Macaca fascicularis: one gene and its partners. Each later gene encodes a partner of the first gene's protein in a complex. Links are inferred from orthologs where the notes say so. Each region holds a gene or a part of one and is shown on either strand. Other genes may lie near its edges.

Evidence for each region.
Region 2: BRD8 (region 1) and ANP32E share a complex: the UniProt entries of both Homo sapiens proteins name them as parts of the SWR1-like complex. The link is inferred for Macaca fascicularis from reciprocal best matches to the Homo sapiens genes BRD8 and ANP32E.
Region 3: BRD8 (region 1) and ING3 share a complex: the UniProt entries of both Homo sapiens proteins name them as parts of the SWR1-like complex. The link is inferred for Macaca fascicularis from reciprocal best matches to the Homo sapiens genes BRD8 and ING3.
Region 4: BRD8 (region 1) and KAT5 share a complex: the UniProt entries of both Homo sapiens proteins name them as parts of the SWR1-like complex. The link is inferred for Macaca fascicularis from reciprocal best matches to the Homo sapiens genes BRD8 and KAT5.
Region 5: BRD8 (region 1) and MORF4L2 share a complex: the UniProt entries of both Homo sapiens proteins name them as parts of the nuA4 histone acetyltransferase complex. The link is inferred for Macaca fascicularis from reciprocal best matches to the Homo sapiens genes BRD8 and MORF4L2.
Region 6: BRD8 (region 1) and RUVBL1 share a complex: the UniProt entries of both Homo sapiens proteins name them as parts of the nuA4-related complex. The link is inferred for Macaca fascicularis from reciprocal best matches to the Homo sapiens genes BRD8 and RUVBL1.
Region 7: BRD8 (region 1) and VPS72 share a complex: the UniProt entries of both Homo sapiens proteins name them as parts of the nuA4-related complex. The link is inferred for Macaca fascicularis from reciprocal best matches to the Homo sapiens genes BRD8 and VPS72.

What each region holds. Positions count from the first base shown.
Region 1 is NC_088380.1:144,652,194-144,655,693, forward strand, and holds part of BRD8 (bromodomain-containing protein 8), read right to left. Parts: coding exon 3,226-3,500; intron 2,926-3,225; coding exon 2,832-2,925; intron 2,646-2,831; coding exon 2,599-2,645; intron 1,860-2,598; coding exon 1,645-1,859; intron 628-1,644; coding exon 535-627; intron 346-534; coding exon 277-345; intron 1-276. UniProt on the Homo sapiens protein: May act as a coactivator during transcriptional activation by hormone-activated nuclear receptors (NR). Isoform 2 stimulates transcriptional activation by AR/DHTR, ESR1/NR3A1, RXRA/NR2B1 and THRB/ERBA2.
Region 2 is NC_088375.1:111,032,109-111,035,608, reverse strand, and holds part of ANP32E (acidic leucine-rich nuclear phosphoprotein 32 family member E), read right to left. Parts: intron 2,273-3,500; coding exon 2,123-2,272; intron 1,008-2,122; coding exon 885-1,007; intron 1-884. UniProt on the Homo sapiens protein: Histone chaperone that specifically mediates the genome-wide removal of histone H2A.Z/H2AZ1 from the nucleosome: removes H2A.Z/H2AZ1 from its normal sites of deposition, especially from enhancer and insulator regions.
Region 3 is NC_088377.1:162,563,519-162,567,649, reverse strand, and holds the start of ING3 (inhibitor of growth protein 3), read right to left. Parts: upstream 2,801-4,131; 5' UTR 2,683-2,800; coding exon 2,655-2,682; intron 2,416-2,654; coding exon 2,344-2,415; intron 274-2,343; coding exon 173-273; intron 1-172. UniProt on the Homo sapiens protein: Component of the NuA4 histone acetyltransferase (HAT) complex which is involved in transcriptional activation of select genes principally by acetylation of nucleosomal histones H4 and H2A.
Region 4 is NC_088388.1:8,650,866-8,653,927, forward strand, and holds the end of KAT5 (histone acetyltransferase KAT5), read right to left. Parts: intron 2,444-3,062; exon of another isoform or gene 2,343-2,443; coding exon of another isoform or gene 2,325-2,342; exon of another isoform or gene 1,514-2,324; coding exon 1,354-1,513; exon of another isoform or gene 1,225-1,353; coding exon 1,143-1,224; exon of another isoform or gene 1,049-1,142; coding exon 914-1,048; 3' UTR 501-913; downstream 1-500. Other genes in the region: RNASEH2C (ribonuclease H2 subunit C), read left to right, coding at 1-63. UniProt on the Homo sapiens protein: Catalytic subunit of the NuA4 histone acetyltransferase complex, a multiprotein complex involved in transcriptional activation of select genes principally by acetylation of nucleosomal histones H2A and H4.
Region 5 is NC_088395.1:110,058,189-110,062,407, reverse strand, and holds the start of MORF4L2 (mortality factor 4-like protein 2), read left to right. Parts: upstream 1-1,419; 5' UTR 1,420-1,478; intron 1,479-1,951; exon of another isoform or gene 1,952-1,966; intron 1,967-2,742; exon of another isoform or gene 2,743-2,811; intron 2,812-4,179; 5' UTR 4,180-4,219. UniProt on the Homo sapiens protein: Component of the NuA4 histone acetyltransferase complex which is involved in transcriptional activation of select genes principally by acetylation of nucleosomal histone H4 and H2A.
Region 6 is NC_088376.1:155,323,096-155,327,316, forward strand, and holds the start of RUVBL1 (ruvB-like 1), read left to right. Parts: upstream 1-1,421; 5' UTR 1,422-1,529; coding exon 1,530-1,670; intron 1,671-4,221. UniProt on the Homo sapiens protein: Possesses single-stranded DNA-stimulated ATPase and ATP-dependent DNA helicase (3' to 5') activity; hexamerization is thought to be critical for ATP hydrolysis and adjacent subunits in the ring-like structure contribute to the ATPase activity.
Region 7 is NC_088375.1:110,032,689-110,036,188, reverse strand, and holds part of VPS72 (vacuolar protein sorting-associated protein 72 homolog), read right to left. Parts: intron 1,970-3,500; coding exon 1,817-1,969; intron 1,640-1,816; coding exon 1,525-1,639; intron 1-1,524. UniProt on the Homo sapiens protein: Deposition-and-exchange histone chaperone specific for H2AZ1, specifically chaperones H2AZ1 and deposits it into nucleosomes.

The DNA of each region.
Region 1 (3,500 bases):
CTAGTTTTGAATTCCTGGGCTCAAGTGATTCACCCACCTCAGCACCCTCAAAGTGCTGGGATTACAGGCGTGAGCCACCACTCCCGGTGAGGATTTATTCTTTTAGACTATCAGTGGTGATCCAGCCACTGGAATCATCAGTTTAGTACTTAGTGCCCCTTATAGCAAAACCATAAATTTACTTGCTTTAAACTTTCTATCTAAAGCAAAACTTTCACTAAGACTGGACAACTTATAATTCAGGCAAGTTACCATGCTGAGTGGATCATGGCTCACCTCTGCACAATGCTGTGGTAGCCAGGTGCTATGTCATCTGTAACAGGCTGCAGGAAGACATTGGCATACCTGTCCAAAAGGAATAAGGTGCAATTACTGACATTCTCCAGAAGAACAGGGAGAGAACTTACTCTAAGTAGCTGAAGATAGTAAGAACCAATACCAGCAGTTCCACAGAAGCCTACTCAGACTTTTTTCCAGTCACCAACAATGAAGAGTAAGAGAAAATGAACCTACTGACTGATAAAGCCCACTCACCTATGATTAGCTGCAGCTCTCCATACAAGCATGATGGCTTTCTTCCAAATTTTCTGTGCCTGAATAGCTTCCTGATCCTCGCTACAGACAGAGCTGAAACAGAGATACAGCAATTTCACTAGGCACAAGTTAAAAAATATATATATATATATAAAAAATTATCTCTTTTTTTTAGAGACAGGGTCTCACTCTGTCCCCCAGGCTGGAGTGCAGTGGCGTGATCATGTTCACTGCACCCTCAACCTCCCAGACTCAATCCTCTCACCTCAGCCTCCCAAGTAGCTGGGACTGTAGGTGCATACCACCATGCCCAGCTAATTTTTTAATTTTTTTGTAGAGATAGGGTCTCACTGTGTTGCCCAGGCTGGTCTCGAAGTCCTGGGTTCCAGCGATCCTCCTGCCTTAGCCTCCTAAAGTGTTGGGATTACAGGTGTGAGCCACCATGCCCAGCCCTAATAATTTTTGTCAACTGTTTATTCCAGGCCAAAAAAGGGAAACACTAAAGAAAAGATCAGGCCAGGCATTGTGGCTCATGCCTCTAATTCTAGTGCTTTGGGATGTCAAGGCAAGAAGACTGCTTGAGGTCAGGAGTTCAAGACCAGACTGGACCACATAGGGAGATTCTGTCTCTTAAAAGAACATCTTTTAAAAACAAAAATTTAAAAATAAAGAAAAAGACCACGTATGGTGGCTCATGCCTGTAATCTCAGCACTTTGGGAGGCCGAGGCAACTGTTGAGCTCAGGAGTTTGAGAACAGCCTGGGTAAAATGGCAAAACTTGGTCTCTACTAAAAAAAATTTTTTTAATTAGTAGGGTGTGGTGGTGCAGGCCAGTAGTCCCAGCTACTAAGGAGGCTGAGGTGAAAGGATTGCTTGGGCCTGAGAAGTGGAGGTTGCAGTGAGCTGAGATCGCGCCACTGCCCTCCAGCATGGGTGAGTGAGAACAACAAAGGAAGGAAGGAAAGAAAGAAAGAAGGAGAGAAGAGAGGAGGGGAGGGGAGGGGAGGGGAGGGGAGGGGAGGGGAGGGGAGGGGAGGGGAGGGGAAGAAAAGATCCTCTCCTTCTCACCTTCACTGCCTTAGCCTCAAAGGAAGAATCTCAGATACTCACAACTGTGAAGAAGCAGGGCTGCTGGGGATGGAGTCTGCCAGCGTGTGTGACTGCAGTGTAGCATTGTGTATGCTGAAGCCATCATCACTCTCGCTCACAGGAGGTTCATTATCCATTTCTGACAAATAACCTTCTCCTTGATCCTCTTCCTTAGGCTCCTCTAGGCTGGCCGCTTCACTGACACCATCTTCCTCCTCATCCTCACCTGGGGCATCCTTAGACACAGTATGCTCCAGTCAATAAATGCAAGCAAAGCTATCCAGCAAAGCATCATTAAACATGCTCTGTCTTTTGGGTTAGAATTAGTTCTAGAAATGACCTCACGCTGTTTCCTGACTTAGCTGTCTATCACTTATACTACCATCTACTTAAAGACACTGACTTAAGTAATTTAGAACCTGGACAAAGAATAATACCCAGGATCTTTTAAAAAGAAAGAAAAAAAAAGCTACTTACTTAAGACTAAGCTAAGAGGCGTTCCTTCTTTCCCCTTGTTCAAGAGTAACTCTGACCCTGGATACAAAGTTATCAAAAATAATTTTTATTTTGTGTCTCATCTGATGGAGCAAGCTCACATCGCATTCTTTAAGTCTCTGTTACTACTGCTTTAATAATTCTAAAAAGAAAACTTTGGATGATTTTCTTTGGATAGTCTAATTAATAAACTGGATTCCTGTATGTTCTCCTTAGTTCTGGTATCCTTATTCACTCCAAATCACTCTAAGTGTATCAAGGCTTCTTAAGGACTGTGATATTCACAAGCTGTTTCATATGGGAGGCACCTGTTGCTACAGTACTCCCATTATGCCTGTCTACTGCAGCTTTTCCCCACGCAACTCCATACCAGTCTCTTATCAGAGAATAAAAATGCGACTTTACTGAAATTCATTAAAAAGTAGTGCTATAGGGAAATCTAATCACATGGCAAGAGGAATAAAGAAAAGTCTGAAATACCTTTATCTGGCTTCCAAAAATAGTCCCTGATTCTTCTTTCAATGAGTCTGCAGAGGAGAGAAAGACTACCTGAAGATTTTTCCACCTTAGCCTTCCCCTTCCTATGGACCATAATCCCCTGCAGCTCTCCTTTCCATGCTGACCTGTTCTACCTCCTCTACTTGCCCACAACCCACAATCCCTCAGAAGCCAAAGCAAATGATTTCAAGTTAGTTAAAGAGGACTTTATTTACCTGACATTTCGAACTTGTGCTGAGTCTCTGCTTCTAAAGGATCTTCAATGGGATTTGAGCCATGTGATGGAGACAACATGCTTTCAGGGGATGCCTGAAAACCAGAAAAGAAAAAACACCCTAAGTACTGGTAAATCACTATAGCTCACACAACTTTATTCTTCAATGATAATGAGACCATAGAAGAAATTCTAAGTCCTATTCATGTAATGTGACTCCAATGGTCACCTTAACAGGAATAAGTATATATAACACTAATCACAGCCTATGGGCTTTGGACCATCAAACATGTCAGAACTCAGGAATGCAACTGGAAAACCAAAAAACCTAAGCTATCACTTCTTACTTAAGGTATAACCCTCCATCTCCCCAGCCCCTGATCTTTATTAAGTACCTCTGTCTTCACATTTGTAAGTGGAGTCTCATCGCCTTTCCCAATGGCAACATCTGCTTCAACAATCTCTCCAGTTGCAGTACTTCCCGGTTCCTCATCTAAGTCCTGACTCCTGAGTTCTGGTGGCTCCATACTTGTGGCTGGAACAACTCCAGCTACTATTTCAGCCCCTGAAATGACTGATTCTGGTTCTGCAGGTTCCACCTTGATCTCTGCACTGGGCTCCCTGATGTCCACCAGTTCATGTATTCCCTTGTTTTCAGTTTCCTCAAAGT
Region 2 (3,500 bases), on another chromosome or scaffold:
CAAAGTGCTGGGATTACAGACATAAACCACTGTGCCCAGTCTCCAATCTTTTTTCAAAATCAGAGCAATAATTTTCAGCATGTCACTTTTTCTTTTCTTTTTCTTTTTCTTTTTTTTTTTTTAGACAGAGTTTCGCTCTTGTTGCCCAGGCTGGAGTGCAATGGTGCAATCTTGGCTCACCGCAACCTCCCCCTCCCGGGTTCAAGCGATTCTCCTACCTCGTGTCACTTTTTCTTTTCCTTCCCTCATACCAGGAAAGGGGGCAAATAATAAAATGACTCAAAAAATAATCAAGAAGAAAGGAAAAAGAATAAAAGGTTAAAAAAAAAAAACCTGGAAATTTTAAAACCAGACAGTCAACTCCTGAAGTTGATGATAAAATAAATTTCTCATTGATTTAAAATTTCATCTGAATATTTTAGTCTAAAAGAAACGAAATCAAGGCCGGGCGCGGTGGCTCAAGCCTGTAATCCCAGCACTTTGGGAGGCCGAGACGGGCGGATCACGAGGTCAGGAGATCGAGACCATCCTGGCTAACACAATGAAACCCCGTCTCCACTAAAAATACAAAAAAAATTAGCCGGGCGTGGTGGCGGCGCCTGTAGTCCCAGCTACTCGGGAGGCTGAGGCAGGAGAATGGCGGGAACCCGGGAGGCGGAGCTTGCAGTGAGCCGAGATCGCGCCACTGCACTCCAGCCTGGGCGACAGAGCGAGACTCCGCCTCAAAAAAAAAAAAAAAAAAGGAAACGAAATCAGTAACTGCCTAGGTCATAACATACAAAAAATTCGTAAGTTTTGAGTTAAATAGAAATTAATAGACACAAACAAATCTCAGAAAATTTAACCAAAAAAAGCAAGTCCAGAGACAAAACCGTTCCACTTACCAGAGCTTCTACTGTACTGAGATCTTTTATTTTGTTTCCACTCAGATTGAGGTAGGTAAGATTTGGACATTTCTCTGCCAGGACTTCCAAGCCTCCAGAAATTATGTTATCACTAAGCTCCAACTATACATTCAACATAGGAAGAAAACAAAGAATGGTAAAGGTATCATATCAAAGCTTTTTTTTTTTTGAAACGAAGTATCACTCTGTTACTCAGGCTGGAGTGCAGTGGTACAATCTCCACTCACTGTAACCTCCGCCTCCTGGGTTCAAGCAAATTCTCCTGCCTCAGCCTCCCAAGCAGCTGGGATTACAGGCACCCGCCACCACACCCAGCTAGTTTTTGTATTTTTAGTAGAGATGGGGTTTCACCATGTTGGCCAGGCTGGTCTCGAACTCCTGACCTCAGGTGATCCACCCGCGTCAGCCTCCTAAAGTGCTGGGATTACAGGCGTGAGCCACCACACCTGGCATATCAAAGATTTTTAAAGTATATCAAAGATTTTTAAAGTATATCAATTTGAAGAAAAAAAAACCTGTCATTCTCTCTGGCTTCAAGAAACTATCACTACAGATCATTAATTTCCAAATTCCTTTCTACATCTGCCAAATAATGTATTAGAACACCTACATAATGGGCTCTTAACCCAGCTTGGATTCTAGTTGTACTACATTTGGATTTCATGATGTAGAGAAAAATATTTGGTATATATTAAATACAAATTCATATTATAAGGCAATTCCACTATTAGATTTAAATTTCTAGGCCAGGCACAGAGGCTAACTCCTCTAATCCCAGCACTGTGGGAAGCTGAGGCAGGAGGATGCCTGGAGCCCAGGAATTTGAAATCAGTCTGGACAACATGGTGAAACCCTGTCTCTGTAAAAAATACAAAAATTAGCCAGGTGTGGTGGCGCATGCCTGTAGCCTCAGCTACTTGGGAGGCTGAAGTGGGAGAATGCTTGAGCCCCAGAGGCAGAGGTTGCAATGAGCCAAGATCACACCACGGCACTCCAGCCTGGGTGACAGAGTAAGACCCTGTCTTAAAAATAAGTAAGTAAATAAATTTATAAAAGCAGTATTAGAGCTGATTCTCAAAATCCTATATAACTTTTTCTTATCTCTAGAAACTTAAAAACTTCTAATTAGCAAGCAGAATGGTATTCCATTTGGCCAAACACTAGACATAATAGCCATGACATTTAAATCATGATGCTTCACGTAAATGCCAACTTACTTTTCGAAGTTTATTTAAGCTGGGAAGCCGGGCCAGTGAACTTAGTTCCACATTAGCCATACTCAGAAATTCTAGTTCTTTGAAAGTATCATTCAGGCCTTCAATTTCCCCATTTACACACAGGCAATTATCAAGGACTAACTCTGTCACCTGTAAGAGGGAAAACATTAATTAATGATTCTTTAGTTTGTAATCTGTTTAGGTAGAGACCTGGGTCTTGACACTCTGAAAATGTAACTATTAAAACCACCAATCTCCAGTTTGATTGCCCATCAGTTAAAACAAAACACAACACAACAAAAACCCCAGCAATCCCCTTACACAGATCCTTTTCATTTCCCCCCAAAACTGATATACAATCTAAAGTCATCACTATAATCTTTTAAATTTCTTTTTTCCTTTTTTTTCCTTCTTTTTTTTTTTGAGATGGAGTCTTGCTCTGTTACCCAGGCTGGAGTGCAATGGCACCATCTCGGCTCACTGCAACCTCCAACTCCTGGGTCCAAGCAATTCTCCTGTCTCAGCCTCTCAAGTAGCTGGGATTACAGGTGCATGTCACCACTCCCGACTAATTTTTTTGTATTTTTAGTAGAAACAGGGTTTCGCCATGTTGGCCAGGCTGGTCCTGAACTCCTGACCTCAGGTGATCCTCCCCCTCGGCCTCCCAAAGTGCTAGGATTACAGGGATGAGCCACCTCGCCTGGCCATTCTTTCAATTTAAACTTGGACTAAAGTTCAATGCCTGCTTCAAATCACTGATACATAAGAAACAAACGTTGAAGAAGTTCCCATGTGAAAACTGTTTCTGACCCTGATAAGGAGGACTCTCAACATCAGAGAATATATTTATGCAAGGAGGGGGTACCTGAGCTACCAGGAAAAGATTCGAGTGAGCTGCCCTAAAACCTACAAAGAGCGCCAGGCGCAGGGGCTCACGCCTGTCATCCCAGCACTTTGGAAAGCTGAGGCAGGTGGATCACTTGAGGTTAGGAGTTCAAAATAAGCCTGGCCAACACAGTGAAACCCTGTCCCTACTAAAAACACAAAACTCAGCCAGGCGTGATGGTGGGCACCTGTAATCCCAGCTGCTTGGGAGGCTGAGACAGGAGAATCACTTGAACCCGGGCGGCAGAGGTTGCAGTGAGCCAAGGCCGCACCCTTGCACTCCACCTTGGGCAACAGATCGAGACTCTATCTCAAAAAAAAAAACCTACAAAGAGAAGAAACTCTTTAATCATTTTTTCAGTTTAAAACCCCTTCTCTTTGGTTGATAAATACCATCATAACTCAAAAAAACCTCCTTACCCTTTATGAGGAAATGTTAGAAAGCTCCTCTGGGAACAGCCCAGAGGGTGTTATTGGTTCTCACATCCAGGCC
Region 3 (4,131 bases), on another chromosome or scaffold:
AATGACTAAAAATCGCTATCTGAAGCTCTAAACCACACTAAATTATTTACATTCTAAAGAGTCATTGATAATATTCCCTTATTTTGATATCCAGATCACTATTTAATTTTGAAATATCTTTTTCAGAGGGTCCCAATATTTCTTGATAAATTATCCAAAGTGTCGCACATACTTTTTTGATGGATGCCATTTGTTCTTCTCTCCATTCAGGTTTATTTTTCTTTGCGTTCATAAAGAATTCACTGACTCTTTGTTCTAGTTGATCCATTGCATCTATGACATAATAAAAAAATCATATTAAATGACCAAATTCATATACTAAATATACATGGTTTGATTTAGGGAGGGAAAAAAATCTGACAATATATACTCTTTCACTTTGCCAGTAACTTAAATATGTTATGCTTTGATTATGTAAATATATAAAGCCTCAATTACCTTCCTTTAAAAAGTTACAATTTTCCTTATTGACAGATTATTTTTGTTTTTGTTATTTCAAAATTTTTTCCAATAGCCAAAGTAGAGTCAACAAAGTAGATCGGCTCTATCCTATAATTTTTGAGCAATACAGCCTTGGGGTCAAAAGCTATAGGTGTTAATCAGACAAATGTACCAAAACACAATGAAAACACCATTAGATAATCCTCACATTTCTTTCAACAAGAAAAAGTGATAAAAAGATTTGGTATAAGGCATTAAACATCTCATCATGTCATATCCCAACTGAAAGTAGTAGGTGCAATCATTTAAACATTAATTCTAGATAAATTTTCCCCAAATTAAGTGCTAAGACTAATCATCTCATTGGATGTCTGCTTAAAAAAAAGGAAAAATTAATAAAAAGGATTCTGTTGTTACGTAAGTTGAGAAAAATCTTTTCATAGCATACTTCTTTTGGAGATTTTCAGTCCACAATAGCCTTTTAAAGACTCTGTGAAGTACTATGGTTAATTTTCAGTATCTTCCTTTGTTTAAATAAGCATTTCTGAATTTATTTGGCACACTGTTCTGTTAATCCATAATATCTATTAACTTCAGAAAATTCGTTACTGTAAAGAAATGCACGTTTAAAAACCCTGTAATATGTATACTGTAAGCCCAAATTATGAGAATTTAAAATTTTAAACAAAATATAAAAATAAATTTAAAATAAGTTACCCTTTATTTAATGCCTACTTTGTATCAGATACTATAAATTCTAATCCATCTGTAATATTTTAAATCCTTAGATGATTCTCTTTTTACAGACAATGAAAGCCCCACACAAGTGGTAATACAGTCAGAGTCAATGAGTAAATTAGTAAAGCCCTAAAACAAACTCAGATCTATCTGACATCCATGTCTATGCTCAGTCCTGCAGAAAATACTTCAGCAAATCTTTAGCATTTCGACTACACTAAAATTAAAATGAATTTGTGAGATAGCTGGAGAACCACACACACAATTCATACTTCATACCACAATCCACTGAACAGAAGGTGGCTTCCATGCCACCACTTTTTATTATGTGCCACCTGAAACTTACTGGAAACATATACGCATAAACAAAGGGTATAGAAGTGGGTGTGTGGTCACGGGCAGAGAAGACAGGGGCAGTGAAAAGGACAGGTTCTTAGCTGCAGCAAGTGGTCCCTAAGCCACCTATTTATAGTCCTTGCTCTACGAAAGAGTAAAGTTAATTTGGGGAAAAAGTCACAGAGACTACCAAGCTATCACTGAAAGAAAAATAAATGTTCACTAACTGCTAAAATTTTTAGTACAGCACATATGAAACTTTACAGTGAAATCTAATTTCTGTCACTCATTTTAACCAAGAAAATGACGATTCTGTTACAATTTAAAATGTATCTTATAATGTGTAACTAAGTTTTCAAAATTTGACATTCGCCAGGGTCTCTAAAGAGCTATATATAACCTGTGCTTCTATGCTCTCCACTCTTGAAAAACTGAATAGGATGAACTTTAAAATAAGTATAAATGCTGAAATCTAAGTTCGATACGAAAAGGCTCAAGACAACATCTCAACATTTATTATGCTGACGTGCATTGAAACATAGATAACTATCTCAATGACGGTAGAGAAATATTTTTTGCACAATCCTACATTCTAGAAAGGAATACACCTGTCCCAATGCCGCCTCCTCTTGCAAAAGCCAGAAAAAAGTAGCATGGGAGGGAAAGAAAAGGCGAGATTCAGGGCTGCCAGTTCTTTTTGACAACTCCTTATGCACTAGCGGAGTGAGCCAGAGGACAGTGAAAGAGCATTAGGCGCTAGCAGTGATGAAAAGCAAGTCTGGCACTGAACGCGCGCAGCCAACATGAAGAGCAGACGCGCCGACTTACTCTGCACCTGCAGGTCCATCTCGCGCATTTCCGTGAAGCGGTCCCGCAGATCCATAGGAAGCTGCTCAATCACTGTCAAAGGGAGAGTCCGTCAGAGGGGCGGGGCCAACGGCGAAATACGCGCTTACGTCACTGCGCGCGTGCGTCAGGGGGGTCGAGGGGGCCGGCAGCCCACAACGAGGCTGCCAGTTACCGTGAGAGAGAAACATCCCCCGCCGCCCCCTCCCTCCCGCCATCTCGCTGCCCGTCCACTCGCGCTCTTGCCCTCCCGCAGGTCCCACCGGCGGCCGCCGCCAGCGCCGCGCACTCACTTTCCAGATAGTCTTCTAGGTACAACATCGCGGCCCTTAGAGCTGAGGGAACAAGGGGGTCCAGGGGTTTATTTGTGTCACTCGCTGTCGCCGGAGTTTTGTCCCTTCCAATATGGCGCCTCCGCTAGCAGCACCCGCTCGACTCCGGCAAAAAAAAAAAAAAGAGAAAAAAAAAAAAACCACTTTGGCGCCTGACGGCGCTTGCCTCACTGCCGCCCGGAACTGCTATTGGTTGGTTAAAGGAATGACGTAAGCCGGCCGGTGTTCGCCCCCGTGCCTTTGTGGGAAATGTAGTTTTCTTCCTGCTGAGCAAGGGTTGGCGCGCTGGCGGCTCCCCTCGTAGAAACTACCAATACCAGGCGCCATTGCAAACAGTGCGTAACAGAATCCGAAATGCGGTGCCTCTGTTTATTTGTTGATTTTTGCACAGAGAATGGCGGGAGTTGTGTGCGCCTGCATAACACAACTAGGAACAACTTTTCACCTGTTCTTTGCTGTGATTCCATGCCCCGGCGTTTGTGAGTCATGGGTTTCAAGAAGTGCCAGGCAAATAGCAAAGGTTCTAAACGCTAGGATAATCAGCAAAGTTCGGGGAATTTGGGTTACTTAAACCAGAACTCTCTGCTGGAATTTATCCTCATTATTCACTCCTAAAATATAAGAGAGACACCTGGTTGGCTTACGTGTAATTTTGAAATGGTTTATACTGAGACTGTGGAGTGAATATGCATTTCCCAGATTAAAAGATGCACAAATAGTGTCAATAGCCACTTACATATTGTAGTTTGCAGTCCGTCTAATCGTCATTCTAATGTAATTGATCTATACATACAATGTGCACCCACAAATAATAGTAATAATCATCATCATCATAGTGAGCAGCCATGAATTACGGATGGAGCCTTCATCTCGAATAGGCTGTAATAGCAGTAACTTTATGTTGAGTAAATAGTCCATATTCGAGGTTGGTTGTCTTGGGCGTTCTTTTTCTACTTTTCGACGTCTCCCAGCGAAGGTTTTCCTGTGATATAGTTAGTACGTCCCTACTCAGTTTCTTTTTACATTGTTTTTATTAAAAACTCTTGCATTCAATAAATACTAGGTGTTGTTTTCCTCTCTTCTTAGCTCTTCGATTTTCTGGGGAAATTGTCATTAGTTGATAATTTATTTTTCATTTTCTGTTTTTCAGATTGCAGTTGAAACTGTGTGTGTGTGTTCCCTGCTTTCCTTCTCCATTACATACTCTTACTCAAGGTTTTCACTCATCTTAAGCAGGAAACTTCCCTGTCGTGAATGATGAATCATGATGAATCTCAGCGGAACCTTACTTCGATCTGAATAAGAATTAGAATTTTTTAGTTTCTAGTTAATTTTTTCATTACTTGCATCTAAAATCAAGTACTTTCAATCTTTTTCTCCCTTCTTTTCCTCCTTTCTTCCTTTCCTCTTTCCCATCCTTCCTCCTTCTGGTTGCTTT
Region 4 (3,062 bases), on another chromosome or scaffold:
ACCATCCCTGGCCCGGATGCCAAAGTGCGTGGGGCCCTAACTTGGCCCAGTCTTGCGGCAGCGGTGAGTAGATGAGGAGTTCCGTCTTGTCCCCGGGTGGATGGGCTGTGGAGCACAATTGGGCAGACGAAGCCTGGAGGATTCTACTGGGTAGTGCGTGGGAAGCGTAGCTCCCCGACCACTCTTCCTAGCCATGTCTAGAAGGGGTTATTCTGAACAGCTGGGTCCTTCCCCGGGTCTGGGGGCCAGCCTGCCGCCCTGCCTTACAAGTCCAACAGTAGAGGCGACTCCTCTTGCAGATTCACGCACAGGTGCCCGAGGACTGAGAACCAGAGCTTGAAATTCAAAGCTGCGATCCCTTCACAGCAGTAAACCAGCTCTTTGGAACCACTGATTCCATCACCCCAATAAAGGAGCTCTTTACAGCACCTGTGAGTCCGGGCACCTTAGAGCCCCTAAGCCAGCATGGACCCCTCTCCCCCAAGAACCTTGCATGGCTCTGGCATATAGAAACAATTTATTGCCGTGGGCAATGGGGATAAGAGAAGCCAGAATTTTTTGCAGCCAGCACCCACCCCACCCCCAACTTCTACTTTACAAAAGAAATTTTTACAACCACCAGCCCTCTGTACAGAGCTCCCCCACCCCCCATCTCACTGTACACAGCTGCCTGGCTCCCTCTGGTCCCTGGTTCAGAGCAGGCCTGGGCCTGTGGCCAGCTGACCTTGGAGTTAGCCTGAGCCCTGAGCTCGCCTTGGTGCCGGGCACCAATGGGCCCTGCCAGGCCTGTCCCTTCCTTTTCGAGCTTTTCAGCCCCATCTCCCTTAGAGTGCTTTGTGGGAGCTGCAGTGAGGGCGGGGTGGGCTATCAGCCCCAGTCCTGCTGTCTTAGCACTGCAGTGGGCAGTGCCTGGTCACCACTTCCCCCTCTTGCTCCAGTCCTTGGGAGTGAAGTGCAGACACTTGGAGTCGATCCGCAGGAGCCGCTTGAGCATAGCCCGCTCATGGCCATCCACGATGTCCTCTGACAGTGTGAGGATGTACTGGCCCTGGGCAGAGGAGATGGGTTCAGCAAGTGGCCAGTGCACAGGGGCCTGCACTCTGCATCCCACACACCTGTCTCCACCCTGCCTGCCTCCCTACCTTGTAGTAGTTGATGAGATTGAGGTACTGCAGAGTGGAGATGACATCCTCCTTCTTGATGCTGGTGATTTCACTGATCTCACTGTAGGAGAGCAAAGGTCAGGTCCCCTGAGGACCTTCATCTGTCCCCAGGAGCCCCAGGAGAGAGTGAGAAAGCCCAGGAACAGACAGGCCATGCCATGTACCCCCAGGTAGGCAGCGCCAGGCTCACTTGATGGTGATCTGTGGCCTCTCCCCGCTCTCTGACTTCAGCCCCATCAGGATCTCCAGGATGGTCTGGGACCAGTAGCTTCGATAGGATAGGAGGCCCAGGTCTGAGAGGGGCTTCTCAGGGGTCCCTGTTTTCCCTTCCACTTTGGAGAGTTCATAGCCTAAAGCAATGGAGCAGGAGAGGGTGAGTAAGAGGTCATAGATGAACATAAGCAACATTGAAAAACACAGGTCGCCAAGGCAGGCTGCCTAGTTCCCATCATGGCCCTGCCACTTGGCAGTTCTGTGGCCTCCGCCTCTCTGCGCCTCAGTTCCCTCAGGAAGAACTAACGAGTATTCACTCTTCCCCTGGGAGTTGAGCACAGTGGAGGGCATGAGAGCACTGAGAGGAGCAGCTGCAGTCAACCACGAGGGTGATCAGAGGCCAGTGAAGGCTTATGGGCAGGGGATGCAGGGAAAATGGCTCAGGGGAAGAAAGTGCCTCCAATTTTCCTTTGCCATCCCAGGCTCCATGTCTGGGCATGTAAGGAAGGAAGTGGGGACAGATTCCTGTCTCTAATCCAGGCCTGAGAATGCTTGAATTCTCAGTCAAATCAGTCCTCCTAGCTGGGATCTTGGGAGTGTCAGCTGCTGTTAAGACCTGAGTGGCCTGACTGGGTGGTTGTGAGGATGCAAGGAGAAAAGGTGCACCAAAGTGCTTCCCAAGTTGGGGAGACCATTCCTGAGAGCCAGGTGACTGACCCCCACCATGGCTGTTTCCCTCCAACTCCTGCTGATAGCTGCGCACTGGGAGGCAGTCCCCAGTGAGATCCTGACCCTGCACAGCCCTCAGTGGCTTCACATCTCTTGGGCAGTGTCTTCATTCTCCCCACCAGGGACCTGGGATGTTTGTGACTTCTAGAAGCCCTTCCTCACCCTCACAATGGACCTTAGCCCCTTGGTAGTCCCACCCACATCCCATCTCCATTGCAGTCTGAGCTCCAAGACTGAGTTTCTTCAAGCATCCACTTGTGCTACCAGGCTGAGAAGTTCTGAGGATGTGACCCCATCTGGGCATCACTTAACCAATAAATTTCTCGAATGGACCATAACCTTGATCAAGTAAAGCCTCTGTGTCTTCACCAGACAAACAGCTAGAACTTCCTCTTCTTTTCTCAGGTCAGAGCTTAGTTATTCCAAGTGAGTGGTGAGATAGAATGCGGGGTGATGGGGAAGAGGCTGAGGAGGAGAAGGAGCCTCAGGGTTGGGGAGGGCACTGAAGAGCTCATGTGTGATGAAGGTCAGAGTCCCTTCTGGCTTTAAGAGACTGACCTCACTGGACACGAGGAGCAAGGGAGAATTCCATGCTTACGTGTATCTGTTGACAGCATTTTGGACACCTGCCTGCACGGCTCAGGGGACAACTGGGGACATTAACCACTGGTCCTTGCCCAAGGACTTGTATCATGGGACACCGGTTACCAGATACATGAGCACCAGCGGCTCACTAACATGCCCATGGCCCCAGGCAGGAGCATGTAAGTCAGATTTGGGGAAAGCTGAGTGGCACTTAGAACCCTGGCCAAGGAGCAAACTGTGGGGCTGAGAACCTACCCCAGATAAGCAGGGCAGTCAGCCTGAATGGAAAGAACTCTGGGAGAGTGCCACTGTTATTTCTGGCTGGCTCCCCTAGAGACCGGGCTGCACAGCCATGGTTGAGAATCACGGTAG
Region 5 (4,219 bases), on another chromosome or scaffold:
CTCTAGTGGTGTATACAAAAATATGCATTGCATTTCTACTCTCCAAAGCAGTGGTTCTCAAACTTCAGTGTGTGCTGGAATCACTGGGATAGTTTGTAATAACACAGATTACCAAACCCCACCGTGCGAACTTCTGATTCATTAAGTTTGAGGTGGGACCTGAGAATGTGAATTTCTGACAATTTTTCAGGTGATGCTGATGTTTCTGGTACATCCAGGAAACACATCTTGTGAACCACTGCTCTAAAAAAATCCCTCTTGTGTACAAGTATATAAGATAGATAATTGAAAGGGGTATGATTTTTGTTGTTTGACTTTGATCTAGTACTGCTCATCTAATAAGGACTTGGTGATAAATTTAAAAAAAAATCGACATGAAGGATATAACACAGCATCTAAAATATAGAAAGCATACAAAAAACTGAGGATCACAGAACATAAATCATTTGCCCAGGGTACTGAGACTAGTAAGTGGTGGAATGAGGTTAACAATTAAGTCTCTTTCTCTCACTCCAAAGACACAATAAAATCTACCAATACCACTACAGAAAATAGGGTGCAAACACACATATCTGATACAAATTTCAAGAGAAAAGGAAAATCAGTTTTCTTTTTTTTTTTTTTTGAGACGGAGTCTCACGCTGTTGCCCAGGCTGGAGTGCAGTGGCGCGATCTCGGCTCACTGCAAGCTCCGCCTCCCGGGTTCACGCCATTCTCCTGCCTCAGCCTCCTGAGTAGCTAGGACTACAGGCGCCCGCCACCGCGCCCGGCTAATTTTTTTGTATTTTTAGTAGAGACGGGGTTTCACTGTGGTCTCGATCTCCTGACCTTGTGATCCGCCCGCCTCGGCCTCCCAAAGTGCTGGGATTACAGGCTTGAGCCACCGCGCCCGGCCTTGGAAAATCAGTTTTCAATACCAGGGTCCAAGTTTTACTGATGAGTTCTTATCTCTTTACTAAAGTAACAGCTATCTGTATTTTCAGTTTGGGTGAGTTGCGAGCATTTGAAAAGTTGAGGAAAAAGGGTTAGGATCTTCAGCATCAGTGCTTGGGTCATTCATTAACTCTTTGATTAAACAAGGCAAGGACAAAAGAAGCGAGGGATGGAGAGGGGCCTTCCCCCCCGCCCCCCCACCCAAGGAGAAAAGGAAAGAAATGAGTAAAATTATTTGGATCTTGGGTCACAGTTCCCTGCCTACTAGTGCTATTCACAGAAGCTGATTTTATTTTTTCCTAGGAATGAACGATATCAATGATGCCTTAGATATTAGCGTTCAGCAAATCAAGAAAGGGGAGGGGGGAGGGAAACAAAATCCCAGAATCCCAGGGACCACACAGCCAATCCTTTGCTGGGATTTGGCGGCATCTAGTGGCGAACTCGAGAGGTATAAACCTTACCCACAGAACTTTCTGGAAAATTAACAGTGCGTATTTGCCTGAAGAAGGTCAGTGTGCTTGCTTGGAGATCAGAACGCAAAGGTAAGAGCGCCCTAGTCACCATAAAAATCCGGAGTCTCTAACGGAGGGGAAGGCTGTCATAGATAGATATTCTCATAGGAAAATTGTATTTGTGCCAAGAGAACTGCACGCAACCTTGAAGGGAGGGGGGAGGTGTGGAAGAGGGGAGGGAGGAGGATACTAGACAACTTGAAAGAAGTCTCCCTTTGGAGTTGCTAATGTGACGATGGAAGGCTTTGGCTCTGAATCATTGGAGGGCTGTGGTTTACGACCGGATTTTGGCACAGAGGAGTATTTAAATCAGGGAAAGCCAAAATATTTCTGACAGTGCCCCTTTATCTCTGTTATTGTCGCCTTGCCTTAATTATTTATTTTCCTTTTCATTAGAACATTTTCAAACAAAATACAGAAATAGATAACCTGCGCGCAGTAGCTAACCCCTCCCCGCAACTCCCACCCCAATCACGCACGCGGGCGCGCGCCGTGGCTCTCACCAGTCCAGACGCCAGGGGCGCACGCCTGCGCAAACACATCACCTCCAGCGCCACGAGGGCCGCTCACACAGCAACCCCAGGGGCACTCGAGCCTGCCCGCGCACTAACACACTGGCCTTAATGCCTTGCGCCCGTTGCACTCACGACCCTAACTCGCAAACACAGCAGAACCCCCCACTGCGCCTTTTTTTTCCATGTTCGGGGAGTTGCGCCACAGGCCTGGGGGCGTGGCTCCAGATTTGACCTCGCGCTTCCCCACTCGCGGGAACCTTAGCTCATTTCCGCCTATTTCCGCAGGCCACGTAGACACTTCCTCTCCCAGTGGGGGGCTGGGGGGAAACACAAACCCATAATGCCTCCCTGCAGGAAAAAAATTAAAAAAAAAAAAAAAAGGAAAAGGAAAAAAAAAAAAACCTTCTGGTCAGAGGAACTCTGGGTCGTGAAATAGGCCACGTGAACATTCTGCCCTATAGACTTATGACCCAACGGCTGTCACGCTTTTGGAGGGCGGGCTAAAAACCTAAGAGGGCGAACGTCATTGGCCGGAACGCGCACTGACGGAGGAAGAGGATTGGTTTGCTGTAGGCCTTAACAGTGAAGAAGCAGGTTGCTAGCACCCGCCTTTACTGCGGCGAAGTGTCATTGCTGACGTGGGGGTGGTTGTCCAATCATTTGGTTATGGAACATTCTAAAACTTAGACAAGACGATTGTGATTGGCTGAAGGGCATACGCCCTCCTCCAGGGTGACGTGTCTGCCTATGGATATCAGTTGCCAGAGAAACCTGGCTTTACTATGGCGGTTGGAGGAACGGCAGTGATCACACGTCGTCTGCTGGGAAGATCTGGATTCTCGTTTCAGGTTTCGGGGTGGGGGTGGGGAGAAAGGGTCGATGATTTCCTCTTTTCGTCGGGTATAGACGGGATTAGCTAGTTCCTTCACAATCGGTCAGAGCTGGATTCAGATTCCTGCTCGCCAACGCCCAGCTTGGGCAAGGCTCCTGTTCTTTCTGTGTCTCGGTTTCCATGTTTGTAAAATGGTGATAATAATAGTATCTACCTCAGAGACGTGTACTGTATAATGGTGCGTATAAGGCACGTAATATGAAGCCTGGCCCCTGAAGATATTAGCTATTGTTATGGAGATAAATAATACACGTAATAGAATGAGAAAAATTATAAATTATATAAATTCGCTAATTGTAGTGCCCTTTCTGCCATCAACTTCTTTCCTAGAATAAATTAAAGATAAAAGAGATATATCAATTTTTACCAATGAAATAATTTGCTCTTTGGGAATTGCCTCAAAATTGCAGAGATTGTAATTTTCCCATGTTGAAAAGTTAAATAAAAGGTGGGGGGGTGGAGTGCGAGAAAGAAAGAGATGGAGAACGAGAGCGAGCTGGAGATGAACCACATGCGATGAGTAGGCCTTGTTTGGATCCTGAATCGAACACACCAACTGTAAAAATATGTTTAAGACGCATCGGGAAAATTGGAACATGGATTCGATATTTGATGTTTTTTAAGGAATTGATGTCAATTTTTTTAGGCGTCACAGTAGTATTGTGATTATGTTTTCAAATTGTCCTTTTTTGTAGAGACATATACGAAAATATTTACGGATTAAATAATATAATGTCTGGGATTGGCTTCTAAATACATTAATGACTAGGATTTGCTTCAAAATAATCTAAGCGGTAGGGGGAAATGGGGAGGGGTATAGATGAAACAAAATTGACCCTAAATTAATAATAGTTTTTGCTGAGTGATAGGCAGTGGGTTCCGTATATTAATCTGCTTTCCTTGGTATACGTTTAAATTTTTGTATAATAAAATACAGAAGTCAGATATTCCCGTGAGCTTGAAAAAGTCGGGGGTGGGGGGGAGCAGTGGGTGGGGTTATAGATGAAACAAGATGGCCTTCAGTTGGTAATTGTTGAAAGCTGGATGATGGATTCGTGTAGGTTTGTAATACTATTCTTTTATTTCATCCATTTGAAATTATCTTTAAGGAAAAGTTAAAAAAATTGTCAGAAGTTATATAAATATACAATAAGTTAAATTTGAAAATGTAGCCACAAGAAAGGAAAAAGAAATACTTGTACATTATTTATCAGCTTTGGTGTCCTTTGTGTGTGATGAAATTGCATTGGCTGATGTAGAAGAAAGCCATATCTCATATCTTTTTATTTTATGTCCTTTCCTGTCCTTTTGTTTGACCTTCTAGGTCACCATCAGAAAAGCTAAGTTTGCTGTATAGTGAGGAT
Region 6 (4,221 bases), on another chromosome or scaffold:
TCAAGTGTATGTGTTTGTGTGTGGTCTAGAACATTAATTGAATTCATGAGAAGCCTTAATTGTGAGTTGTGTTTTAGGCTGTGTGCCAGGCACTTAGGTTAAAATGGTAAACAATCAAATGTGGTCTACACCCTCAAAAGGCCTGCAGTTTACTGGGAGAGACAAACATTGACCCAGTAATTATGCAAATCACTAGAAGCCTAGATTCAAAAGAAAAGAAAAAAAATATAGAAACCTAGATTCAAAACTTAGAATCAAGATGTACAAGGAAGTGTGATTTCAGGTCTGTCTCAATTCTAATATAAACTCTCCTGCACTCTGGGCAAGTCCTTCCCTTCCTCTGGATGTTAGTATCTTCTTCTGTAAAAATGGTGTCATACCATTTGCTTCTGAGGAAATCTCGCCCATTTGTCAGAATTCAGCCAAGGCAACATCACCTTCATGGTGCTTTCCCTGGCTCTCCAGGCTGTTCCTGGGGCTTCTGCTCTGGTCTTCTTGCCACCTGGGTGTACCTGTCTCACCACATCTCATGTTACAAGTTTTCTAAGCAAGGAGTAAGCTCATCAAGACTTTTATCCCTGTATCCCCAGTGCATTGTGGTGTCTGGCTCGTGTTTGTTAAATGGATGGATGGATGGATGGATGGCAAGTACAATTGTGGTGCAGGTTGTGCGAATATCATTATGAAACCTGAAGGGACAATTTGCTGGCTGATTGTCTCAGCTGAAATAATGGGACAGTATGAGCATTATTATATAGGTTTTGAAGCCTGAAGATTTCTAGTTCTGATTCTTTGTGGTGCTTTCTTGGGCGGATGGGCCTCTTTCTGCTTGTCTGTAGCTGCATTCGTAATTACACTACCTTACAGGGCTGTAGAGTTTTGAAAACTGCAAAATGTTATTTACAGTCAACTGAACTGAACTTAGCAGGAACCTTATCTCTCGGCGGAGGATGGAGATTAGAAGCAGGGGAAGACAATTCCACGGAAGGAGTGGTGGGTTGCGCTGGGCCTTTCCAGACGAGATGCAAAGGTCTGGGAGTCAGAAAACATTGGTTAGTAACCAATTGCAGTTTAAGCTCTGAACCTCAGTTCTTCTATTTCCAAAACGGAAATAATAACTTGAGCTTCGCGTAAGAGTATGACGTTCAAACGTGATAATGGATAGGACGGAAGGATTAGGAGTGGTACCCGGGGGCCACTACCTCGTGCAACGCCCCAGCCCGAAATCAAATCCGGGGCGTGGTCCCACTGTGCTACCGACCCCAGCCTGGGCAGGAAGCGCCGGCTGCGGGGGAAGCCAACCCAGAGACACAGCCGGAAGTGAGTGACTGGAGCTCCAGCAGCAGCCGCGATGGGCGCAGCCGTGAGCCTATGGAGAGCGGAGGCGTTCCCGCTTCCACCAATGGAAGGCCAACCTAGGCGGGCCTTTGCAAATTGCCCTAGTAACGGCCGCATGGTAACTCGGGCGCTGGGCGCACTGTCCTATCTGCTGGTTTTCCACGCTGGTTTTAGCTCCCGGCGTCCGCAAAATGAAAATTGAGGAGGTGAAGAGCACCACGAAAACGCAGCGCATCGCTTCCCACAGCCACGTGAAAGGGCTGGGGCTGGACGAGAGCGGCTTGGCCAAGCAGGCGGCCTCAGGGCTCGTGGGCCAGGAGAACGCGCGAGAGGTGTGGCCAGCGGACCAGGGAGTTGGGGGCTCCGAGCAGGGCTGCTGCGGCGAGAGAGCTGCTGAAGTCGGTGGCTCGGGTCGGGATGCGCGCGCCAGGGGTCTCCCGCCATAGTTGCCTCAGGGAAGTGAAAATAGGCCAGGGGCTCGGGGAGGGGCGCCGCCCTGGAGCTGGGTGAGGGGCCGCCCCAGGAAAACTAGTGACCACCCACTGGGGCCAGTTGACGGTTTGCTTCAACTCATGGACAAGTACTAATGGAAACCCACACAACCCCGTCCCCTTAATCCATGCTGAGCTCTATTCGCGACACTTATTTCCCGGGATACAGCGGGAGATAAGATAGGAGGTTACATTTTAGTGTAGTGAGAGACGATAAACGTGTACATCAATAAACAAAAATGATTATCTTGGTGGGGTTAGTTACTGCAGAACTTTGTCGGCCACGGTAAGGAAATTGGATTTTATTGTGAACGCACTGGCAGGCCGTGGGACGGTTTAAAGTAGGGAATTGACTAAACTTTAAAAGCTCGTTTTGGTTCCCAGGACCCGGGAGCTGAGGGAGAGAAGTGGGAATTAGGGAGAAGAGCAATCTGGTTTATTTATCCCTCCAAGCATCCTTTTTGACCATTCCAATTAAATCTCCTTTTTCTGAGTGCTAGTGATGCCAAGTACTTTCACATACATTATTGGTTTTTGGCAGGTGAAAATATTGAGTTGGGGAGAGGGCACTTCACCATATACTTGACACTCGTTTTAGTAATGGTAAAGCGGGGATTTGCGCTCACATGTATTTCTGACTCCCAAATCAGTGCTCTATGATGACATAGCCACTCTCTCTGCCTGCTGTTGTCTGAGGTCACAGCCATGCCCCTTGGCCTTTGCAGAGCCTTAGCTTGTACAAAAATCTTCACTTAATACAAAGTTAAGCTACTGCCTCTTAGCCTGATTTTTCTAAATAGAAAGGGCTCAAAAGAAAAACCTCGGGTTTCCATTTTGAGCATCATCTTTCCAAAAAGGAAGTGTTTGACCCTGTCTTACTAAGCAGCTATTACTGCAAGTAGCTAACATTGGTTGAGTGCTTTCCATGTGCCAAGCACTGTGCTAAGTAGCTGTGTGTCCATTGCCTTGTCATATCCAACGAATTAGTTGTCCCTTCCCTGCGTTAGTATGACAGTTTTCAGACATACAAAAAAAGTTGAAAGACTTGTATAGTAAGTACCTGTGTACCTAAATTCTATGATTAACATTTTACTATGCTGCTTTATCATATATCTTTCCATGTGTGCCTCTCCCAATCCACTTTTACATTTCAAGGTGAATTGCAGGCATCACTACACTTCACCCCTACACCCTTTAACATGTGTGCCATTGACTAGTATGAACTCTGTTCAAGTGAGGAAATTCTGGTTCATAGAGGTCAAGTAAGTAGGTCCAAGGTTACTCATCTGGTAAGTGGGAGAGTATTTTAACTCAAGTCTATGTATTTAATCCCAGAGTCCATGCTCTTAACTGATGTTGTATGCTTAAGACCCACCTCAGCTACCAGGTTCTTGTGTGATTCTGGTCACATCAGTAACCTGAAAAATGAGAGTTAGACTAGGTGATCATTTAAAGACCCTTCCAATTCTTTTTAAATGTTAGAATTCAAGCTTATCTCACCTGAGAGAAGTTGGAGTGGAAACTGAGGGAGAATAGATGGAAGAGGTCCTGGTCTGTAAATAAAAGCACATATCCAAGGTTTGTAAAGTCTCTTCTACCTTGAGTTTTCCAAAGAGCTTCAGTGCTGAGGATTATATGACAAGGTTGTATGGAAAGATCATAGTAGGTTTTTTTGTTTTTGTTTTTGTTTTTGTTTGAGATGAAGTTTCGCTCTTGTTGCCCAGGCTGGAGTGCAATGGTGCGATCTCGGCTCACTGCCACCTCTGCCTCCCGGGTTCAAGTGATTCTCCTGCTTCAGCCTCGTGAGTAGCCATGATTACAGGCGCCCACCACCATGCTCGGCTAATTTTTGTATATTTAGTAGAGACAGGGTTTCACCTTGTTGACCAGGCTGGTCTTGAACTCCTGACCTCAGGTGATCCACCCGCCTCGGCCTCCAAAAGTGCTGGGATTACAGGCATGAGCCACCGCGCCTGGCTAGGCTTTTTATCTGTTTAGAAATATAGCATCTGGGCTGGGCGCAGTGGCTCACACCTGTAATCCCAGCACTTTGGGAGGCCAAGGCAAGTGGATCACCTGAGGTCAGGAGTTCGAGACCAGCCTGGCCATCATAACAAAATCCTGTCTCTACTAAAAATACAAAAATTAGCCAGGTATGGTGGCATGTGCCTGTAGTCTGAGCTACTCGTGAGGCTGAGGCAGGAGACTCACTTGATCCTGGGAGGCGGAGGTTGCAGTGAGCTGAGATTGCGCCATTGCACTGCAGCCTGGGTGACAGTGAGACTCCATCTGAAAAAGTAGCATCTGAAGAATATCTTCTAGGTTCTATTAAGGGCAGTGTGCTTTGGTAACTGAAGTGGAAATGGGATGGATATAGCATACACACACATAT
Region 7 (3,500 bases), on another chromosome or scaffold:
AAGCTCCGCCTCCCGGGTTCACGCCATTCTCCTGCCTCAGCCTCCTGAGTAGCTGGGACTATAGGCACCCGCCACCACGCCCGGCTAATTTTTTGTATTTTTAGTAGAGACGGGGTTTCACCGTGTTAGCCAGGATGGTCTCGATCTCCTGACCTCGTGATCTGCCCGCCTTGGCCTCCCAAAGTGCTGGGATTACAGGCGTGAGCCACCACGCCCAGCCCCCATGTCCACCTATTTTATTTATTTATTTTTAAATTTTGTGTTTGGAAATAATTTCCTTTTTTTTTTTGAGACAGAGTCTCGCTCTGTCACCCAGGCTGGAGTGCAGTGGCACAATCTCAGCTCACTGCAAGCTCCGCCTCCCACGTTCACGCCATTCTCCTGCCTCAGCCTCCCGAGTAGCTGGGATTACAGGCATCCGCCACCATGCCCGGCTAATTTTTTCGTGTTTTTAGTAGAGACGGGGTTTCACTGTGTTAGCCAGGATGGTCTCGATCTCCTGACCTCGTGATCTGCCCGCCTTGGCCTCCGAAAGTGCTGGCATTATGGGCGTGAGCCACTGCGCCCGGCCAGAAATCCTTTCTTTTTTTTTTTTTTTTTTTTTTTTTGAGATAGAATCTCGCTCTGTCGCCCAGGTTGGAGTGCAGTGGCACAATCTCGGCTCACTCCAACCTCTGCCTCCCGGGTTCAAACGATTCTCCTGCCTCAGATTCCCGAGCAGCTGGGACTACAGACACATGCCACCATGTCCAGCTAATTTTTTGTATTTGTAGTAGAGATGGGGTTTCACCATGTTAGCCAGGATGGTCTCAAACTCCTGACCTCAAGATCCACCTGCCTCGGCCTCCCAAAATGCTGGGATTACAGGCGTGAGCCACCATGCCTGGCCTCAAAATAATTTCAAACCTACAAAGTTGCAAGAATAGTACAATGAATACTCATGTATCTTTTACCCCATCACCTATTGGTAATATTTTGGCCCTTTTGCATTTTGTATGTGTGGTTTTTTTCTGAATGATCTAAATTAGATAACTAAAGTTGTAAACATCATGGCCTTTATCCCTAAATATTTCAGTGTGTATTTCCTAAGAATGAGGATTTTCCTATCCATAGTAAGTTATCAACATCAGTAAATTTTTTTCTTTTTCTTTTTCTTTTTTTGAGACGGAGTTTTGCTCTTGTTGCCCAGGCTGCAGTGCAATGGTGTGGTCTTGGCTCACTGTAACCCCTGCCTCCCAGGTTCAAGCAATTCTCCTGCCTAAGCCTCCCAAGTAGCTGGGATTACAGGGGCCCACCACCACACCTGCCTAATTTTTGTATTTTTAGTAGAGATGGAATTTCACCATCTTGGCCAGGCTGGTCTCGAACTCCTGACCTCAGGTGATCCACCCGCCTTGGCCTCCCAAAGTGATGGGATTATAGGCGTGAGCCACTGCACCCAGCAACATCAGTAAATTTAACACTGATATGATATTGTATCATCATATTCCAATTTTCCCAATTGACCCAAACATCCCTACTCACTGTCAGAGCCGTCATCTTGTAGTTCTAGTGGCAGTAGTGCCTTCTCTTCTCGGGCCTTTTGAGAGCTACCAGCCGGGGTGTTGACCTTTCGAGGCCTTAAGCTCTTGAGAGGCTCCTGAGGACAGATTGGAATCAGATACCAGGGAACAGAAGAAGTAAGGAGAAATATGAGGATCTCAATGAGAGAAAACTAGCATTGCCAGAAATGGAAGTGGCAAAGGGAGTACTGGGACCTGATGAAAGAGGGAATAGGAATTGAGGAAATCCAAGAAAACTAGGACTCCTCCTGTACCTTATAGGCCTTGGTGACTACTCGGCGCTTCCTTCTTGGCTCTTCTGCTTCTCCATCGCTGGATGGTTCATCCCCTTCATCAATATCAAAGTCAGAGTCCACTTCGTCCTCTGTATCTGACTGGTCCCCTTGATACTCATCATCTCCGGATTCCTAAGGACACAGGGAGATGAGGGTTGGCTGGCAATGGAAGCCTTAATGACCCTTCAGGAAGAACAGAATCTCTCAACTTTCTTGATAAGGGTTGCCCTACTCTCCTTCCTAATCCAGTCCTTCATTTTCTTCAAGCAAGAAAACTTTCTAGCTAATGGCCTTTGGCTCCAGTACCACCTCCTTCCAACATTAATTGATAGCGCTTTACCTGCAACACACTGTGTTAAGTACTGGGAAACAAAAGGATATGGTTTGGTCTCTACTTTCAGGGGCTTACAGTAAAGGGGATAACATAATCTTACTTTTTTTTTTTTTTTTTGAGATGTGGGTCTTGGCCAGGCACGGTGGCTCATGCCTGTAATCCCAGCATTTTGGGTGGCTGAGGTGGGCAGATCACTTGAGGCCAAGAGTTCGAGATCAGCCTGGCCAACATGGTGAAACCCTGGCTCTATTAAAAATACAAAAATTAGCTGGGCATGGTGATGCACACCTGTAGTCCCAGCTACTTGGGAGGCTGAGGCAGGAGAATCACCTGAACCCAGGAGGCATAGGTTGCAGTGAGCTGAGATAGTGCCACTGCACTCCAGCCTGGGCGACAGGGCGAGACACTATCTCAAAAAAAAAAAAAAGGCATGAAGAGGAGTTAAACTATGGTTGAAAACACTGTTAGTATTTAGACAGTCAAGAGGGAAGAAGGAATCATGGGCGATGAAATAGCAGAAACAAAGGCGCAGAAATGGTAATTTCTGTTTGGTACAGCATGTTTATGGAATAAAGATTTAGATCTAAGTAAAACTTTTCTCTATCAAGAAACCTTGTTAGCCAACTGTGTTTCGCTCCAGCACTGCCTCCTTCCAACACTGATTGCACTGTAGGACTATATGATTTGAAAAGAAGGTTGCGGCCGGGCGCAGTGGCTCATGCCTGTAATCCCTGCACTTTGGGAGGCCGAGGCGGGTGGATCATGAGGTCAGGAGATCGAGACCATCCTGGCTAACACGGTGAAACCCCATCTCTACTAAAAATAGAAAAAAATAGCCAAGCGTGGTGGCAGATGCCTGTAGTCCCAGCTACTCAGGAGGCTGAGGCAGGAGAATGGCGTGAACCCGGGAGGTGGAGCTTGCAGTGAGCTGATATCGCGCCACTGCACTCCAGCCTGGGCGGCAGAGCGAGACTCCGTCTCAAAAAAAAAAAAAAGAAAAGAAGTTTGCATTCCTGCATTCCATTTATGGAGAAACTTAAATGTCACACTAATAAACACAATTTTAACCTGCAGGCCAATAATTCTCAATCCCCTCCATCTCCTTATTTGTCCGACCATTGATAATCATTGTTTATGTAAACTAAAGTTACTGAGAGAAATATGTGTCATTCCTCAGATGTGTTGGGACAGAAAAACAGCTGAGTACTGCTACTATGGATAACGGAGAGCCACCGAAGATATAGGGGAGGGGTAACAGTATGTACAAGGGGTATTTCAGAGAGCTCTGGAGGCAGTTAGATGGCCTGAGTAGAGAATGTGAAGTACAGC